2 linked regions of the Drosophila melanogaster genome follow. The protein of the gene in region 2 interacts with the protein of the main gene of each other region in a biochemical or structural test. Each region holds a gene or a part of one and is shown on either strand. Other genes may lie near its edges.

Region 1 (5,539 bases), on a different chromosome or scaffold from region 2:
CGCCACGCATGTTCATCGGGGAATGGGACTGAGCGTAGTTCACACCGCACCTGGGCGGGATTTTAGCCGGATTTTGAGCGGCCAAGGCACAAAACACACCACAACACTTGCACATCCCGGCGTGAGAGGGAACGACGCCTACCGTGCAGAGCTAATTTAAGTCAACCGGCTGCACACAGCTTGAAATATTATTTACATTATATTAATTTAGCAAAATATTATGGTAAAATAATATTAGGCTAGGCATAAGCAGCAACAAAAAAAACAAGAGTAATCGCAAACCATTGTAACATTTAGTGCCGTGATTTTTCGCGCTTTTCCCCTAGCAATTTTGAGATTACGCACTTGAGCCAATTTTGTTTACCCTGTTGTACGAAATGAATGAATAGCCATTACATCACGAGTTCAGTTAAGCTTTTAAGTATATTGTAAATTTCTCTTGAGCAGCCGTCAACTCAACTGGCCTGTTTGCGTATTTACTTGATAAATGTTCTTAACTACGAATTTTTCTAGTAAAAACTCAAACAAGCGTTGTCTAACAGGCTGCTGTTTTTTATTTTATATCTGTAAAATTCTGTAATATTCTGTATTGTGTATGCAACGTAATAAAAATAATCTTTTAAAACAATCCGTTTAATTTTGGTCTTCTAAAATGAAAACTTTTTTCATTGCTTTAAACTAAAGATTTGAATTGCTCACTATACATGGCATTCCTGGTAATTACATGTAGTAATCGGGATTCCAATCTGGTGGGCGCATATGATCTGGATTGATTCCACCCTGTCCCGGCCTATTCGGGTTCAGGGGATTGAACGGGTCGAAGCGGGGCACGGGTCCCGGGCCCATATTTGGGCGTGATGGAAAGCTGAACAGGTTACCATGACCACCGCGACCCAGTGGATCGAGATCCCCGCGTCCAACGTCCGGAAATCCAAAAGGGCGAGGCTCGAATGCACTTGGAATGAAGGATCTAAACGAGGGGAAACGATTAACGAGTGTATAAAAAACTATCCACAAGTGTTCTTACCCGCCACGCCTTGGCTCGCCGATGCGCAAGGGATCTGGATCCGATCCAATGGGGCGTGGTGAGTTGGTCGTCTGCGTGGTAACTTCGCGCGAGTTTCCCGTGAATACAGGGTCTAGAAGCTCCCTACGGTAGCGTTCAACAATCTCTGAGGCACTCGGCATTATGGTGGTGATGCCTCCCTTGACCTCAGGTACCAGGGTCTCTGGTTCTACGCAGATGTTGGATACCTTCTTAGTGTTGATGTCCAACAGGTTGATCAGCAGGGAGCCCTCGGTGATGTGGCCCAGCAGCAAATACAGCATCTTATCGTGCACGTAGCGCAGCGAGTACTTGGTATCGTCATCATTCCAGCTGTCCGGCAGCAGCTCACTGCCCTCCTCCTCCGGCAAGGTTTTCTATGGAATTCCAGATGATTTCACTAATATGCGTGGCCATAATCATACTCACATCATCGCCAACGCCAACGCATCGGAAGTTGTAATGCTTGGTCAAAAGAAAATGGACGAGGGCAATCAAAAGGTCTGACTTCTTGGAGACATCAGCCTTAACGGTCTTGTACAGCAGATCCCAACCGTAAAAGAAATCGCCCGTCTTGGCAGTCGACCCACTTTCCATTGCGGCCACCGATAATCCTTTACAAAATCTGGGTGGGAGTAAACAGAACGAATGGAACGTTCTAATTTATGCTTAGTATATATAAATATGTTTACATTTCGTTTGCTTGGAGCGACGTCAGTTTCAATATCTGAAGCCCACTACAGAAAGTATAAATACTGAATAAATTTCCAAGACAACCTTTGCTTTAAAAGTTTTGTAAACAAAATAATGAGGAAAGAGCGAGAAGTTGTTTTTAGCAAGTTACCACCACATTCTCAATTTTTATTTTAAATCTTTTGGACGTACCTTAGCTCAATGTTTTTTAAAAGGATCTATATTGTTTAAATAATAATAAATTATAAATGACTTTGTTAATATTGCTGCATCTTTGTGAAAATAGAACTAGTGCTGGGATAATCGATATTATCGAGGTATCGGATATTTACTTTTCTGAGCCACTATCGATGGTTTTTTGTCGCTATCGATAGTGCTGTTCATTTTTGTTAAATCAACTGATGGTAAGACCGCGAAATATTCACAATGTGGAAAAGTTTTAATGTGTGACTCCAAGCTACGACTCGAGTTCTCGTCGGATAGCAGAACTCGGCGAGTTATCATGAAGTATGTACATAGCCACTGATATGCGCACATTTTCAGTAGTGGAGGACAATGGATTTCGCGATATACTGAAAGCATTTGATACGCGATATAAGCTTCCATCTCGTAGGACATTGAAAAATTTTGTAATGCTTTTTAATCCGAAGTACTCAGAGGAAAATACAGATCCTCTAGAATATTGGAAGGTAACTATACCTATTTGAGAAAAACATTTAAAATTGCTAATATTTTTATTATTTTAAAGTTATATCGAAAATTTGCTCTCCAAACATCGAAAATATCGAATGGCGCAACTATCGATAGTTTCCCATCACTATTTATTAAAACTGGAAAAAATTTATTGCCTTTTTCAATTTTCTAATATCTCAATGTGATTTATCGATATAGTTATCGATACAGATTTCATATATTAAATCTTTTAATATACAAAATTTTGTGAGAGTAGAACAAACATTAATAAAAATATATAAATAAATAATAAAAACATTAACTTAATACTAGCAACATAATTGTCAAGGTATTTCAAAGGATTCAGAATTTGCTTCGGGCTAGTTATAAATTTGCTTATATCGTAAATACCAGACATAAAAGATTTATTAAATTTCTAATGTGATCCATATGTTCATATTTTAAATATTTTGAAGAAGTCAAGAAAAGTAAACAGTAATTGTAACATAGAAACGATGAGCGACTATCAATTGACTTTGTAATAAAGAAATTCTTATATATAAATGTCTATTTATATATTTATATATTTAAAATAGTAATAGGAAATGCTTAGTACAACATCTACATGTTCATAATACGAAACCTTACGACTTACTAATATGTGTACAATTATAAAATTCCCTATTTCTGACTGATTATTTTGATCAACTATTCATTAAGATTTCCTCGTTCAAGTTATTCGAGTTACTTTAAGTTATTTTTACTGATATTTTGACATTGTGGAATTTATGTTTCCAAAATCTTACTTGATTTATTTTTAAAAGTTGTCTGAAGATCAGTTGTTGCGTTCTGAAAACTTGTTTTAATGATTTTATGTGAAGTCATGATTTACTAATTCTGTTAACTCGATATGTTTATACGGTCTCACATATATCGATTGCCTGGAACCAGTTCGCCAAATGCTTTAGATATCTCAAATATTTCTTATGCGGGAGAAATTAAAACGTTAAAAATATAAAGCAATTTGGAATATTGATTTGTTTAAAAAATTCTTGTTTTTCGTAAATAACACATATATGCTGTCTCTTTCTTAACGCGTTCGGATTCTTATGGACGGACGATGAGTGTAAAAGAGATGACTAGTAAGTTTAGGGTTGCCAAGGCTTGCAAAGACTAACGAATACGAAAACATTCTTTAAAATATAAAATATATTTATCAGCCTTTAAAACGATAGAAATGATTAAAAAAAATTTACAATAAATGTTGTGATATTAGAGTGATATTATAGCTAATTTAATGATCCTCTGATGCCAAAAAAAAAGAAATATTCTTTTTGATCAAAATTTTAGCCATGTTTTCCTAAGAAAATTTTAGAGTATCGGTCCGAACTTGTTATATAGACTTCGTAGAGCCTACTTCGGCTGGAACCCGAAGGGGCAGCCATATTGAATTTGATGCGGAATATTCAGCTGTCTTTCTCGGGTGAAAAAATCTGACACATTTTCGAGGAGACTTGCTGCGAAGCATTCAGTACAGGATCTCCCAATAATATTTTTTCCCGGTTTGCCCAACTAATAAATAATTGTAAACACGCGTCCCTTGCAGCCCTGTTGTTATTGTGTTGCCAAACATAAAAGTGATAAGCGCGCCGCTTTTTTCTGCGGCGGCAGCAGAAAATCGTGAATTTTTCGCGTTTTAGAACAAAAATTGGTGCGGATCGCAGTGCTCTAGTCCAAGAGGCCCGGATACGGAACAGAAGTCATGAGTAACAGTGCTCCGGGTAGCGAAAGTGGCCTGGCAAAGGTAGCGACGCCGTCGCCATCGCCACTGGCCAAATTGGATGCGGATTTCACGAGTGAGTACTGGGCATCAGCCAAGTGGAAAATTGCATATAAATTGCATATACCCGCAACGCAGGCTCCAAGTTCGAGATGCACCCCTCGCTTTCAGACGAGGAGCGCCGCTTCTACCTGAAGATGTACCCCAACGTAGATCTGGTGAACCAGCGAAAGGTGCACTGCACCGTGTGCAAGCTTCACCTGGGCACAGCACCCGCCGCCGAGAGCAACATCAAGATGCATCCCATACTGCGGGTGACGCACTGCGTCAAGTGCCACGATTTTTACAACAGCGGCGAGTTCTCCAAGGGCGAGGATGGCTCTGAGCTGTACTGCCGCTGGTGCGGACAGGGCGGCGAGGTATACTGCTGCTCCACTTGCCCCTACGTCTTCTGCAAGTCGTGCATCGTGAAGAACCTCTCCAAGGGCGTCATCGTGGACATCGAGCAAAACGAGAACTGGAACTGCTTCAGCTGCACCTCCAAGATCCTGTGGCCACTACGAGCCCAACACTGGGCGCTGGTCAACTATCTTCAGACGCAGAAAAGGTGCGGTTTTTAGTCCTACTTGTCTATGCTTATGGCATCTTTAAGTCTTTTCATTCATTCACTTATCATAGTGATTAATCTCTTTCTAAATTGACTTTTCTTATTTAATGTAATGCAGGGCCCTACAAACCCTTCAGCTTCCCGAGGTGGAGGCCCGACGTCAAATGCTTAAGGATAACAGCAATTGCTGTCGCTTGGCGAAGTCGAAAACCAGCAGCTTATCCGACTCGATGGAAAGCTTGGAGTCCAATGTCTCCAAACGCAGCCAGGGCAGCTCAGCGGGCTCGAGTAAACGGGGATCCATGCCAAAAACCATTCCTCCGGGACCACCATCCAAGCGCGCTAAAGCTTCCAACAACGAAGTGGTCTGCACACCGGATCTGCTCAGCATGCTGGAGCCGGATTGCCAGCTCTCTGTGACGCCCAAGCCTACTGGACGTCAGACGGTGACAGCGGCAAATATCACCACTCCGAGGATTGTCACCGTCCAACAGAACTACCAACCGGGACAAAGTTCCAGCAACAGCGGCAGCAACGGAAGCGTAAGTGGTTCTTCATCAGTGCCACCGACACGTAGTAGCCTGCCACCTCCCTTGGTTCTCAGTGGATCTGGAATCCGCTACCGCCAGAATGCCCCTGGTGGGGTCTCTGGTGTGGTACGTCGTACTGTGGTTCCCAACTCTGTAAAAACCACTGGGCCAGTCTTTCACACAATCAATGGGTTCAAAGTAGATTTAAATAG
Region 2 (5,620 bases):
TACTACTACTAATAACGAGCTAAGCCACTCATTTGCGTAAACACTTTCTATCTGTGCACTTTTATCTGCTTGAATAGTGTCTGGGTGATGGCCTCGATTGCCGTGGTTGGCAACCTATTGGTCCTGCTCGGTCGCTACTTCTACAAATCACGGAGCAACGTGGAGCACTCGCTCTACCTTCGCCATTTGGCCGCCAGTGATTTCCTCATGGGCATTTACCTCACATTGATTGCCTGTGCGGATATCAGTTTTCGCGGCGAGTATATCAAATACGAGGAGACCTGGCGGCATAGCGGCGTTTGTGCCTTCGCAGGTGCGTATCCTTCGACATCCTAGCCATTTCCATTTCGTAATGGAATGCTAATGTGTATTACGTATTCGCCGTGTAGGCTTCCTCAGCACCTTCAGCTGCCAGTCGTCGACGCTGCTGCTCACATTGGTCACCTGGGATCGTCTGATGTCGGTGACGAGGCCCCTCAAGCCACGGGATACGGAAAAAGTTCGGTAAGTGTGAACTACAATAGATATGTAATAAAGTGCTGGGCAAAGTTATTGTTTATTCTATTACATTAATTACTTTTGCTGCGGACATTTGCTGATTTGTTGACTGCTCAAATATCAATGCACAGAATTTGTTTACCCTACTTGAATTTTGTTCGTAAATGCAATTATGTTTGTTTTGACCGCCGCCTTACTATGTACAATATATATTTTCTGTTGCTTCATTTTAGTTTGCAAAAGCTATGGTTTTGTATGTGTAAGCTATGATAAATTATTGAAATGACAACTTCCACAGCATTGTCCTACGCCTTCTGCTGTTGTGGGGCATAAGTTTCGGATTAGCTGCAGCTCCACTTCTTCCCAATCCGTACTTTGGTAGCCATTTCTACGGCAACAATGGTGTCTGCTTATCGCTGCATATCCACGATCCCTATGCGAAGGTAATACACCATTTCCTTGGAAACGCCTGTTCTAATATTCCAAAATGTATATTTTTAGGGTTGGGAGTACTCGGCGCTGCTGTTCATCCTGGTCAATACGTTGTCACTGATCTTCATCCTCTTTTCCTACATTCGAATGTTGCAAGCGATAAGGGATTCGGGTGGCGGAATGCGAAGCACTCACAGCGGTCGCGAGAATGTGGTAGCAACTCGGTAAGTTTGGATAATTCAAGTAAAATGATTTAATTATTGAAATATCATGTTTTTACAGCTTTGCCATCATTGTGACCACCGATTGCGCCTGCTGGCTGCCCATAATTGTGGTCAAATTGGCTGCTCTTTCAGGCAAGTTCATCGGCAACGCCTTTAAATGATTTATTTTGATTATCAACTTATTCGTATATATATAACCCCTTTCAGGCTGCGAAATCTCGCCCGATCTTTACGCCTGGCTGGCGGTTCTTGTGCTGCCAGTGAACTCGGCCCTCAATCCAGTGCTCTACACATTGACCACTGCGGCCTTTAAGCAACAGCTGCGTCGCTACTGTCACACCCTGCCCAGCTGCTCGCTGGTGAACAACGAGACCCGATCCCAGACCCAGACTGCCTACGAGTCCGGACTGAGTGTCAGTCTGGCGCACTTGGGCGGTGGTGTGGGCGGCGGGTCGGGGCGAAAGCGGATGTCACACCGGCAGATGAGCTATCTGTAGGCGGGCGCAACTGGCTTAAAATGCAGCACGAGATCAACAGACTGGGGCTAGTGGGTGGGTGGCATTACAACAGGACACTTCCATGTAATTGGTCCCTTAGACTATTGGTATTATACGTACTTATTGATACTTATTCTAATATCAATTTTAAATTACTTATAACATTTGAGGATATGATAACATAAACCTTAGACAAGAGATTCCAGCTATTTAAGTTTCTTTTTTGTATATTATTTATTTTACCAATCGTTTTAAGGCAAACCTCTTACAACTGTCCAAAGAATATCCTAACTATTTGTTGCATCCCCATTTATTCGACCTGCCCAATGGGATATTGTTACATGTGATCTAATAGTTAAATCAAATTTTAATTTTATAAATACATATTCAGATGTTAATTGAAGCTTTTGAACATAGGACTTGCAATCGAAGGCCGCAAATGCCTGCCATCCGGCTTTCTATGCGTTGCCCTGAGGTTCAGTGGCTACATCGAGATCCGCCTGGACGTGATAGGGTCCCTCGTTCACATAGGCCGTGAAACGGATGGTTTCGGTGGGCGAAAACTCAGCGCTAGCGGACAGAATCTCCATAATTTGCCACTTCATATACTTAATGTCCCTGTGCAGATCCTTTTGACGCGAAAGAAGGAACTCCACAGCACCGCCGGTATTCTTTAGAGCTACAATGCCCCAGTTGTACTTACAAATGGTTTTCAAGAACGACAAGGCGGCCATTTGAAGATCGGGGAACGGAGTGTTTATCAGGTCCATAATGATATTAGCATGCGCTCCCCCAGCGAAGCACTCGTACCAGTTTTTACCAATGTTACTGAAAAAGAAGAGAATCATTAGAAGAAAAACTTCAATTATAGAGTTAAGCATTACATGATTTCTGTGGCAGGCGGCGTCTTGAAGTCATAAATCACATCCAGGGAGTTGAGCAGCCTCTTCTTGATGTGCGCCGATAGCTTCTTAGTATGCGAGCCATACTTCTTAAAGGACTTCTCCATGGCCCCGCTAAAGTGCATGTTCAGCAGTATCTTGCCCTGTGGAGTAGTGGCCAAATTGGCAAGCGTATCCATGGCAGTGGGCAGAATACTCTCATCCTCCGATTGAAGCTGCATGAACAAGCAGGCCAGCATGTGCGGGTAGCCGCCAATGATTTTCAGAGGCTGGTATACGGAAATTTTGCCGAAAAACTTCATAATGCTGGGAACGAGCAGGGCGTCTAGCGGATGCTCTTCGACGCGTTGGACCCGATAGCTGATTATATCCAAAACGCGACGACGTTCCATGTAGGACAGACCATGGTTTTGTTCGGCCAGTGGCACTAGGAGCTCCATTACGCTAGCCTGCAATAAAACATCGTCGTTATCCAGTTCGCTGAGAGCCGCATCCAGAATAAATGTAACGTCACTGAGTAAGGTGGCACTTTTCTTGGCCAGGACCACTGCCAATTCGTAGGCGCGACAGCGCACGATCTCATTTTGCTTTAGGAGCTGTACTAGCTTTGCCTGCACATCGGCATTGCTGATTCGCTGAGGCAGCACGATGGATAGGATATTGATGGCCAGAGAGGTACTCTGCGTATCCGGTTGTTTCAGCTCGTCCAAGATGAGGAAAATAAGCTCATTGTTGGGCAGGGTGAGAACCTGACCGACGGTCAACTGGCGAAGCAGCTTCTTGAACAAACTGGCCAACACCTGGGCACGCAAGGCTGGATTCGAGTGGGTCAAGCCACGTCTTAGCAGACTGGACAGCTGCTCGTCGGCGGTGTCCATCGCCAGCTGATCAAGGCAGTGGCACAGCAATTCCAGGGTCACGTCCACGGCCTGATCCTTGGGAACATGGGAATCCGCGGCGGGATTGGCGCAGTCATACAATTGGTCCGTGGTCAGCAGGCGTTCAATTATTTGACGCGGAAGAGCCGCCTCCTTTGCGATGGCTGAGTTCATGGCGGTCAGCGCATCCAGCCTTTGTGGCTTCGACTCCAGAGCCTTTAACTTGGTGACCCACCAATTGTCTTCCATTTCCATTTGTTTTCTGTGTTAAAATGACAGTCGGTTTCAAACCTATCGTTCTTCGATTTCAGAAGACGTTACTTGTCCGAACTTATTGGCGACTATCGATATTGCTTATGTTTATGGCTTGACACTGCAACTATCGAGCGTTTGGGCAAACCAATGTTTTCGATCGATAGTAGCAAGTGCTAGTATATTCCTTATCGTATTGTTTGTTTGTTACAAATGTCTTGAAAGTTTTTAAGTATATTTTCAAAGCCAACTATATAGCTGTAACTCTATTGAAATGAATAACTTCGATTAAAGTGCAAAATGATAGCCGCAGCCCTGCCAAACGTTGTAATATCTATCGCCCAGTCGACCACCACCAGTAATAGTGCATCCCTGTTTTGACGCCATTTTACAGGCGAAATTGTGTGTGTGTTTGACGCGTTGTTGTATTGAAACAAAAAGGCAGAAATTTTCCTTCGTCTGCAAAGGGCAATTGTTTACGGCTGGAAAAAAGGGAGGACTTCGTAGCAAAGATGTCGCAACGCTTTGCACCTGGCCAAGCGCCGGTGCAGTCGCGTTATCAGCCACCACCACCGGCGCCCGGCATGCGTCCCTATCCGCCGCCAGGCGCCTCTTTTCCAGTGAGTTTTCCACGCATTATCCAGCACCTACCGTTTCAATTAAGCATGTACAATCTTATCCGCAACAGCCGCGCGGGTTTCCCCTGCATCCGAACACTACTCAACCTGTTCCCGGCACGGCGAACGTGGCCGGGGTACCGGGAGTTCCTGGAGTACCCGGCGTACCGGGACCATCGCTACTGCAGCGCGCCGCCCAACAGCCGGGCTTTCAGAGCAGCCTTCGCGGTACTGGAGCCGGAGGTGGCGGTGTTGGATCCGGCGGAGGCAGCAAGAGGTCAAATGAATCCCGCAGTTTGGGTGGCGGTGGTAGCAAAAGTGATTTTGCGACGGCCAAAAAGAAAAAGAAGCTGGCCGAAAAGATACTGCCGCAGAAGGTGCGGGATCTGGTGCCCGAATCGCAAGCGTACATGGATCTGCTGACGTTTGAGCGAAAACTGGATGCCACCATAATGCGCAAACGTCTGGACATCCAGGAGGCCCTCAAGCGCCCCATGAAGCAGAAGCGCAAGCTGCGCATCTTCATCTCGAACACATTCTATCCCAGCAAGGAGCCCACAAATGATGGCGAGGAGGGCGCCGTTGCCTCTTGGGAATTGCGGGTGGAGGGTCGCCTGTTAGAGGATGGCAAGGGCGATCCCAATACAAAGATCAAACGCAAGTTTTCGTCGTTTTTCAAGTCGCTGGTTATCGAGCTGGATAAGGAACTGTACGGTCCGGACAACCATCTGGTCGAGTGGCATCGCACTCACACCACCCAGGAGACGGACGGGTTCCAGGTGAAGCGGCCGGGCGATCGCAATGTGCGCTGCACCATCCTCCTGCTGCTTGACTACCAGCCGCTGCAGTTCAAGCTGGACCCGCGACTCGCCAGGTTGCTGGGCGTACACACACAGACCAGGCCGGTGATCATATCCGCCCTGTGGCAGTACATCAAGACGCACAAGCTACAGGATGCCCACGAGCGGGAGTACATCAATTGCGACAAGTATCTGGAGCAGATATTCAGTTGCCAGCGGATGAAGTTTGCCGAGATACCGCAACGCCTCAATCCGCTGCTGCATCCGCCCGATCCGATTGTGATCAATCATTTCATTGAGAGCGGTGCAGAGAACAAGCAGACTGCCTGCTACGACATCGATGTGGAGGTGGATGATACGCTCAAAAACCAGATGAACAGCTTCCTGATGAGCACTGCGAGCCAACAGGAGATCCAGGGGCTGGACACCAAGATCCACGAGACGGTGGACACGATCAACCAGATGAAGACGAACAGGGAGTTCTTCCTAAGCTTCGCCAAGGATCCACAAATGTTTATTC

Evidence for each region.
Region 1: the proteins of CG12096 (region 2) and PI31 interact in far-western blotting, tested with the Drosophila melanogaster proteins (one study listed by BioGRID).

Annotation. Positions count from the first base shown.
Region 1 is NT_033778.4:11,966,810-11,972,348, forward strand, and holds PI31 (proteasome inhibitor 31 kDa), read right to left. Parts: upstream 3,307-5,539; 5' UTR 3,217-3,306; intron 2,042-3,216; exon of another isoform or gene 1,931-2,041; intron 1,846-1,930; exon of another isoform or gene 1,671-1,845; 5' UTR 1,643-1,670; coding exon 1,475-1,642; intron 1,423-1,474; coding exon 1,028-1,422; intron 971-1,027; coding exon 721-970; 3' UTR 534-720; downstream 1-533. Other genes in the region: ADD1 (ADD domain-containing protein 1), read left to right, coding at 4,173-4,266, 4,329-4,797, 4,916-5,539.
Region 2 is NC_004354.4:13,157,949-13,163,568, reverse strand, and holds CG12096 (uncharacterized protein), read right to left. Parts: upstream 3,756-5,620; 5' UTR 3,687-3,755; coding exon 2,536-3,686; intron 2,480-2,535; coding exon 2,110-2,479; 3' UTR 1,652-2,109; coding exon of another isoform or gene 1,362-1,651; 3' UTR 1,287-1,361; coding exon of another isoform or gene 1,213-1,286; 3' UTR 1,155-1,212; coding exon of another isoform or gene 1,000-1,154; 3' UTR 942-999; coding exon of another isoform or gene 797-941; 3' UTR 715-796; downstream 1-714. Other genes in the region: Lgr4 (Leucine-rich repeat-containing G protein-coupled receptor 4), read left to right, coding at 78-313, 390-504, 797-941, 1,000-1,154, 1,213-1,286, 1,362-1,651; Bap60 (brahma associated protein 60kD), read left to right, coding at 4,196-4,303, 4,372-5,620. UniProt on the Drosophila melanogaster protein: Acts as a chaperone during the assembly of the 26S proteasome.